Linked DNA regions of Macaca mulatta. The protein of the gene in region 1 binds, or shares a complex with, the protein of each later gene. Links are inferred from orthologs where the notes say so. Each region holds a gene or a part of one and is shown on either strand. Other genes may lie near its edges. The genes, in order: JAML and CXADR.

Evidence for each region.
Region 2: the proteins of JAML (region 1) and CXADR are in contact, whole or in part, in a crystal structure (PDB 3MJ7), measured with the Mus musculus proteins. The link is inferred for Macaca mulatta from reciprocal best matches to the Homo sapiens genes JAML and CXADR. Residues at the interface, in NP_001005421.3 of Mus musculus: Arg57, Asp59, Ala69, Tyr72, Phe75, Tyr77, Leu80, Val82, Glu120, Arg122, Ser127, Met128, Val129, Met130, Lys131; in NP_001020363.1 of Mus musculus: Thr23, Gly51, Pro52, Asp54, Glu56, Leu58, Ser60, Gln65, Ile66, Val67, Asp68, Gln69, Val70, Leu73, Tyr83, Lys121, Lys123, Lys124, Ala125, Pro126, Gly127, Val128, Asn130.

What each region holds. Positions count from the first base shown.
Region 1 is NC_133419.1:118,872,657-118,876,472, reverse strand, and holds part of JAML (junctional adhesion molecule-like precursor), read left to right. Parts: intron 1-968; coding exon 969-1,206; intron 1,207-3,816. UniProt on the Homo sapiens protein: Transmembrane protein of the plasma membrane of leukocytes that control their migration and activation through interaction with CXADR, a plasma membrane receptor found on adjacent epithelial and endothelial cells.
Region 2 is NC_133408.1:30,188,433-30,192,248, reverse strand, and holds part of CXADR (coxsackievirus and adenovirus receptor), read left to right. Parts: intron 1-3,466; coding exon 3,467-3,671; intron 3,672-3,816. UniProt on the Homo sapiens protein: Component of the epithelial apical junction complex that may function as a homophilic cell adhesion molecule and is essential for tight junction integrity.

The DNA.
Region 1 (3,816 bases):
GTGTGAAGGAAGTCAGGGAGTGAATCCTGCATGTGTGTAGGGGAAGAATGTTCTTGCAGTCATAGACAGTAGCAAGTGCAAAGACCCTGCAGCCAGTATGCAAGGAGCAGCCAAGAGGTCCATGTGGCTGGAGTGCAGTGACCTAAGTAGGTGAGGGAAGAGCAAGTAGAAGTTGAAGTCAGAGGAAAAGGGAGATGGGCTGGGTCATGCAGGGCCTTGCATTTTGGTATAAATGGGAGTAGGGGCAATGAAGGGTTTTGAGCACAGGAGTAACATGATTTAACTTACATTTTTAAAGCCTCATCTGCTGAAAATAGATTGTCATAGCAAATAAGCAGGGAGACAAGTAAGAAAGCTGTTGCAGGAACCCAGGTGAGAGATGAGCTGGACCAGAATGGTATCAGTGGAGGAGGTGAGGACTGGCTGGATTGGGGATTTATTTTGAAGGTTGAGGTGATAGGATTTGCTGAGGGATTTGATGTGATTTTTTCCAGAAAGAAATTAAGGATGACTTCAAGATTTTTAGCCTGAGTATCTGGAGGAAGGCATTGCCATGTACCCAAATGGGATGGACTGGAAAGAACTGGTTTGGGGGAAAGATGGAGTTCCATTTTAGACATGTTTCAGGTTCCTATTGGAAATCCAACTAGAAATGTCCTCAAGAATAAAAGTATACTTTTGCTTTTTTTACTGGAAAGGTACACAAAATGAAAGTCCTCCTTTTCTCATCCCTCTGTTCAGATGGAACAACTGTTCATGGTTTGGTGATGTCCTTCACAAGCACACACACATGCACATGTGTATGTGCGTGTACATGACTTTGTGTTATTTAAAGCTTTCTGATAATACCCTTACTGCCTTCACCTAGCAGGGCCTTGGGAGTCCTGAGATCTTCCCTCCCCCATTTTCTCTGCTCCCCCCTCCACTCCAGTCCTCACAATCTCATACTTTTTGCCTTCCCCTTCTAGGAGGAGATTGTGTTTCGTTACTACCACAAACTCAGGATGTCCGTGGGGTACTCCCAGAGCTGGGGCCACTTCCAGAATCGTGTGAACCTGGTGGGGGACATTTTCCGCAATGACGGTTCCATCGTGCTTCAAGGAGTGAGGGAGTCAGACGGAGGAAACTACACCTGCAGTATCCACCTAGGGAACCTGGTGTTCAAGAAAACCATTGTGCTGCATGTTAGCCCAGAAGAGCCTCGAAGTATCTAACATTTGGCTGGGGGGCATTGAGGGACCTCCTGGCTGGTGCATGGGGCCAGGACTAGAGTGAGGCCGGAGAGGTTCCTAGGATGCAAAATTGAAGGAGGCATCCCTCTCAGGTGCTGACTCTGGCCTTGCACAACCCTGAGAATGATGCCTCCTTAGAGGTGGCTCCTCAGGTACCTGACTTGCCTCACCCTAATTCTGGCCCCGCTGCTAGGCCAGGGACAGGGGAGCTAATTTAGTGAATACCAGTCCTCTGCCAGACCCCACTCATTGCCAGGGTCGTCTATTGATGTAAAGATACAGAAGCTCAGGGAAGGATCTGAGTTGATGTCCAAAGTCAGCATACTTGGTTTCAAGGGAGGTGCTGTACGCGCTAGAGTGGAGCGGGAAGTGATCCTAAGCTAGTGAGAGACAGCCAGGAACAGAGAGGACCATGCAGGCACCAGAACCAAAAATGGAGGCGTTTTCTAATCAGAGGTTCTCGGTTCTGGCAAACAGCGTGCATCAAGGCCAGTGGTGTGTAGGAGAGGAAAGACTCAATTGTGTTGACAGAGAGAGGTTGATAAGTGAGGGGTTGAAGTTAAACCATAACCCAGTTAGCAATCAGGATGTGGCCTGTGGACTTTGCCCCTTGCTAGGGCCTTCAGGAGTTGGTTGTGGTTGATTGGGGGTGGGGAAGATGGGGTGAGGATGGAACATACCTCATACCTCAGGCCAGAGATTTAAGTCTGTGGAGGCACCTTGTCTCCAGCTGGAGAGGGGAGCAGGGCAGATGGGTTTCTTAAAGAACCATCATCTTTCTGTGTGCTTCCTTCTCAGAAGTCCAATTCACAGAGAAAATCGAGCTATTATGGGGGCTCATGCAGCTTCTCTACCCACAAACATATCTATGTCTCCCCATCCTTATCTCTGCCCTGCCATCCTGAGACAGAGGAGGGTCCCTTCTGCTCTGGGCTTATCTGGCCCCCTGTGCCCAGGTGGCATCCTTCTCAGGAGCCTCACAACATGGCTCTTTGAGCTCTCACTTTCTGTTGGCTTCTACCATTCAAATTTGCTCAATTCTACCACTTACCTACTCCAACTCCCTTCTATGTCTTTTTTTCTTCAGCTCCATTCTGTGTCTTTCTTTTTCTTCAGATTGCTTTCCTGAGATACAATTCACATACCATACAATTTGCCCATTTAAAGCGTTCAGCTCAATGGTTTTAGTACATTCAGAGTTGTACAACCACCACCACAATCATGTATTTCTTTCTCAACATAGCCAAATAGCTTGCTAAAGGTCTGTGTTTGGAATACTACCGTCTCATCTCCCATTAACTCTTCAGTGCACTGCATTCTGGCTTATTCTACCTGTACTCCAGCTTAGACCACCAATGCCACTGCAACTATCCATCCTCAGCCTTCTCTCCCTCAGTAGCGTTGGACACTATATTTTATATGCACTCTATGTTGGACCCAATTCCACACACACTCATGGATATGCATAGTAAACTCTACACAAGTTTTCCACAAATCCTTCATACGCGACATGTCTCACCTACCCCTGTACACCCTTCCTCAGCCCATCTCCCCAACCTCAGTTGTCTAACTAGATGCCTGGGGATGTGCTTGATTCCTTCCCTTTCCTTGACCCCAATCTAACAGGTCAGGTCAACAAGTCCTTGACTCCTACTACAGACTCTTGAAGTTGTCTTCCTTCCAGTCTGTCACTGCCACCTTAGTTCTGGCTGTCTTCATCTCTGTCTTGAACTGTAGGCCTCTAACCAGTCTCTGCTTTCTCTCTCAGCCACTGCTCCTCATTCTTCACACGGCTCTTGGTGCCACCTTTCTAAATCACATTAAGAACTTTCTCTTCCACTGCTAATAATCTTTCAATGGTTTTTTCATTGCCTGCAGAAAAATGCCAAATTCTTGGTTGAGATAGTCAAGGTCCTTCCTGACTTGGACCCTATCATCTCTCCAGCCAAATTCTCCAGCACACCCACAGATGCCACTTTTGTGCCAGACCCATTGAACTCTTTCTAGTTTCTAAAATCACCGTCCTGTCAGGCCTTCAGATCTCGCGCAGAACATCCCCTCTGTCCTTCCCCAGATTGTCTGCCCAAGAAACTGGATGTTTCCTATAAGTCTCAGGTTAAACTTTAGAACTTTTGCTGGCAAATTCTCATTTGCTGCACATAGAATTGGGCACCCTTTTTTCTGTGACCCTCTGTTCCCCGTACAGACTTCTGCTGTAGTGCCTACAGCAGCCTGTGGTTTTCTGTTGACGTGTTTGTCTCCTTCTTTGGAAGCAGGGACCATACATCATTTGTCTCTGAATCCCCTGTACCTAGTGCTGTCTGGTCCTGAGGAGGTGCTTGCTTTATGTGTTTAGAAAGAACCATGCAGATGAGTAGAAGGTACCCTATGGGCAGAAGTACCTCCAGAGGCTTTCCTTGGTATCGTCGTTGTGGGGCTGAGTCTTGCGGCATGTGTTCTTTTGAAGACAACCACTTGCCCTGGGGAAGATCAGCAGCCTCTAAGATGCCTGTTATTTCTCGGTCACTTGTTAAGCCAAATTTTAGAACAGAACTGTTGACGTGAAAGGAAACTTTACTACAGG
Region 2 (3,816 bases), on another chromosome or scaffold:
ATGTTTATGTTCAGGAAATAATTAAGGTGCTTTCCCAAGTTGTGAGTGACTAGAGCCACCCCCTCCAAGGATGTAACCTCTGCCCTGATTCTGTTACCAGAACTTCTTTCTGTTTCCCTGAGCAAAATAAATCGGGCCTGACTCATTGTATCTACTCAGCCTCCTTACCCTGTTCCTTGTCACTCTTACCTCCCCGTTCTCTCCCTTCTCTCTCTGTGGGGTTGCTGGCACCTAGAGTACAGGCTCCATCTGAGGTCCTGCAGTTCCCCGTTCCTGTGACAGTGCAGTGCCTGTCCCCCTTTAGAGCCCAGGACTCTGATCCTGTGCTTAAGATAGGGGAAGCCTAGGATGCGTATGGAGAGCATGGGTCTTCAGTGCTGCTGCTGAGTGAAGCTTGTGACAAGGTGCATGTAGAGACCGAGAAGTGCTGTGCCCTGAGCCATTAGTGTGTCTGTTAATGGGAAGAAGACTCCAAGTGTTCCATGCTGAGTGAGAGGCACGGCTTTGCCGTCTACAGGAGTTGTAAGAGAAATGTGAAACTGGGACTTGACTCTGAGTGACCATTTCTGGGTTAAAAACCTAGCTTCTAACCTAAAACACTGTCACATCAGACCAAAAGAAAGGTAGAAGGGTTAGGAAGAGATGGATGCGGAAGAGGATGCATACATAGAATTTAGGCTACATATGCTAACTGAGCCCCTATTTTAATATATTTCAGCTAGTAGACAGAATGGTTAAAAACTGGGAATTGGAGGACTGAGCTGGAGAAATTTGCATTCTTATTCCTTGTGTGATCTCTATAGTCAGCGGTTACTGTAAACTGCGTGCTTGGGCAGTGTTTTATATACTTTAATTGTATATACTTAAGCCGTAAAACAACATAGTAAGGTGAGAATTATTATATGTATGGCAAGGAGGAAACAGAGGCCCAGAGATTCTCATGCCCAGAGTCACATAGCTAGCAACAAATGCAGTTGGGATTTGAACCCAGGTCCCTCTGACTCTCACAGCTGCTCTGTTGCTCTGTTATCCTTTGTGCTGTCCCGTGCTGCCTCCCATGTTTCACAAACCTGTTTCCTCGTGTGTAAAGTAGGAACAGATATACCTAGCATCTCAGGGTCGTTATAAAAATTCAGCAAAATACTATATGCACAAGCATTCTGTAAGCTTGTAAATGATATTGAAATGATAATCATGTCCTGTGCCAAGTTAAATGGATCTGGTTTGCATCTTTGTTGTGCAAACGCTGATCAGTGAGAGCCACTGCTTTCCTCAGCCTAAATGTCAATGTGGACATTGCCATCATCCTTGCAGGGTTGTGAAGGGGAATCAGTGAAGACATGTAAAATTGCGTGGTAAACTTCCCATTCCTTAACTGATGTTTATAACGTCATTTTCCGGGAAGACACTAAGCTAGCTTATAAAATAACCAACAGTGGGAATGCATCTTATTTCTCAAGCCCCCCTTAAAAGGCTACTAAGGTGTGTGTGGAGCTTAACAAGCTACTGGAAGTACAATAGATCGAACTCTACGACCTTTAGAGTTAGATTCCACAGGCAAATTATGATAAGCCTTTTAATCAAAGGAAATTAATCAAAGGAAGATAGAGTAGCCACATTTGTGGAGTCGTCAGTGTTGCTGTTGACAAGTGGATGTGTCAAGAAGATTGAGCAAATAAAGTAATGGCTTATGTTTACAGAGTAAGTCAGCTGTGGACCCTTCAACTCTTTCTTTTATTTACTTAGCAGACTGGTATTGAGCGCAACCTAGATGCAGACAGTTTGTATATAAATAAAAGATCTAGCCGGGCATGGTGGCTCATGCCTGTAGTCCCAGCACTTTGGGAGGCCGAGGCAGGCGTATCACAATGTCAGGAGTTCGAGACCAACCAGGCCAATGTGGTAAAACCCCGTCTCTACTGAAAATACAAAAGTTAGCAGGCGTGATGGTGGGCATTTGTAGTCCCAGCTCCTCGGGAGGCTGAGGCAGGAGAATCGCTTTAATCCAGGAGGTGGAGGTTGCAGTGAGCTGAGATCGTACCACTGCACTCCTGCCTGGGTGACAGAGCAAGACTCTGTCTCAAAAAAAAAAAAGATCTTTGGTGGATTGGGGTGGGGTCAGTGTGGTTGGGAAGGAGATAATTCAGAAGAGAACCCAAGTTCCTCCACTCAAGAAGTTTCTGCAGAATAAACCTGGAAAACAGTACTCTTAGATGACATTTATTCTGATTATACTACCTATAATTAGCACTCAGGTAAAAGAGATTATTTGCAGGATACAGGTCATAGTTGTGTTTCCTGATTATTATTTGAGTTTTGGCATCACTGCTCTTTGGCCCATGGGTCTCATGACCAGAGTGAAGAGATTTCATTAGCAAAAAAGAAAAATTGTAAAATGTGTTAAATTAATGCTAGAGATTGTTAGAGAATACTACTACAGTTCTCTTCCAAGAAAATATTACAAACACAGATTTTATTTTCCCTCTAAAGCATCCAGCCTTTAGTAGTTGCCTTCAAAGGCTATAAGTGTGGTTCAGAAAACTCAGTGGATTCGGCAAGGGTCTTTGCTTTAGTTACAGAAGATTCATTCAAAGGACTTGTTAACCTGGGTACACATATCTTAAGAGGTTTATTTTATGATTTTATCTGTTAGAGTCTAGAACCCTCAAGTAACTCCAGCTTAGTATTAAGACCCAACTAAGTTATCTTTTTGTTAGATTCCACAGGCAAATTATGATAAGCCTTTTGTGGGGGCAGGGGGCAGTAGGTACTTGATTTTGTTACACTTGGTTGGCAAACTACTGCCTCAGAGGCAGTTGAAAAATAGAGTATGTAAGAATGAGCAGGCCAGGCACGGTGACTCACACCTATAATCATAGCACTTTGGGAAGCCGAGGTGGGTGGATCACTTGAGTCAATCACTTGACCAGCCTGGTCAACATGGTGAAATCCCATCTCTACTAAAAATACAAAAATTAGTTGGCTGTGGTGGCACGTGCCTGTATAGTCTCAGCTACTGGGGAGGCAGAGGTGAGAGAATTGCTTGAACCCAGGAGGTGGAGGGAGCCGAGATCGCACCATTGCACTCCAGCCTGGGCCACAGACTCAGACTCCATCTCAAAAGGGGAAAAAAAAAACAAACCAATGAGCACATCTGTGTTCTTGCCCGATCGTACTAAACTGCTGTCTAGGCCAGTGGAGGGCTTTGCTATTTTATCATGTTGGGTCTTGGTTTCCAGGTTAAAAACGGAAGTCTGGGACTATGCCCAAGGATCACGTTGATTCCATATTCTCGTTCTGTGGTTTGGATAGTTTTAGGTTTCCCCATAATATTGTGTTCTTTTTCTCTTTTTCTGCTGGGGGGCAGGGGTTCTGTAGCAGCAGGTGTATCCAGGGCTTCTTTAAGAGACAGTTTTTTTTGTTGTGTGTTTGATTTTCTGCCTGTCTAATTTTGGCTTTCTTTTAGATTATTTTATATTCTGGAGACAAAATTTATGATGACTACTATCCAGATCTGAAAGGACGAGTCCATTTTACGAGTAATGATCTCAAATCTGGTGATGCATCCATAAATGTAACGAATTTACAGCTGTCAGATATTGGCACGTACCAGTGCAAAGTGAAAAAAGCTCCTGGTGTTGCAAATAAGAAGATTCAGCTGGTAGTTCTTGGTAAGTTACTTTTATTTGCGTTAATGGGTTACTGAGTAAGAGGATGATTAGTCATAGTACCGTAGTAGCAGCATTTGTAGAAGACAAAGCTTAATTTTTTAGAATAACAATTTTAAACACTTGACGTTCTTCTGTGTTGGATAGC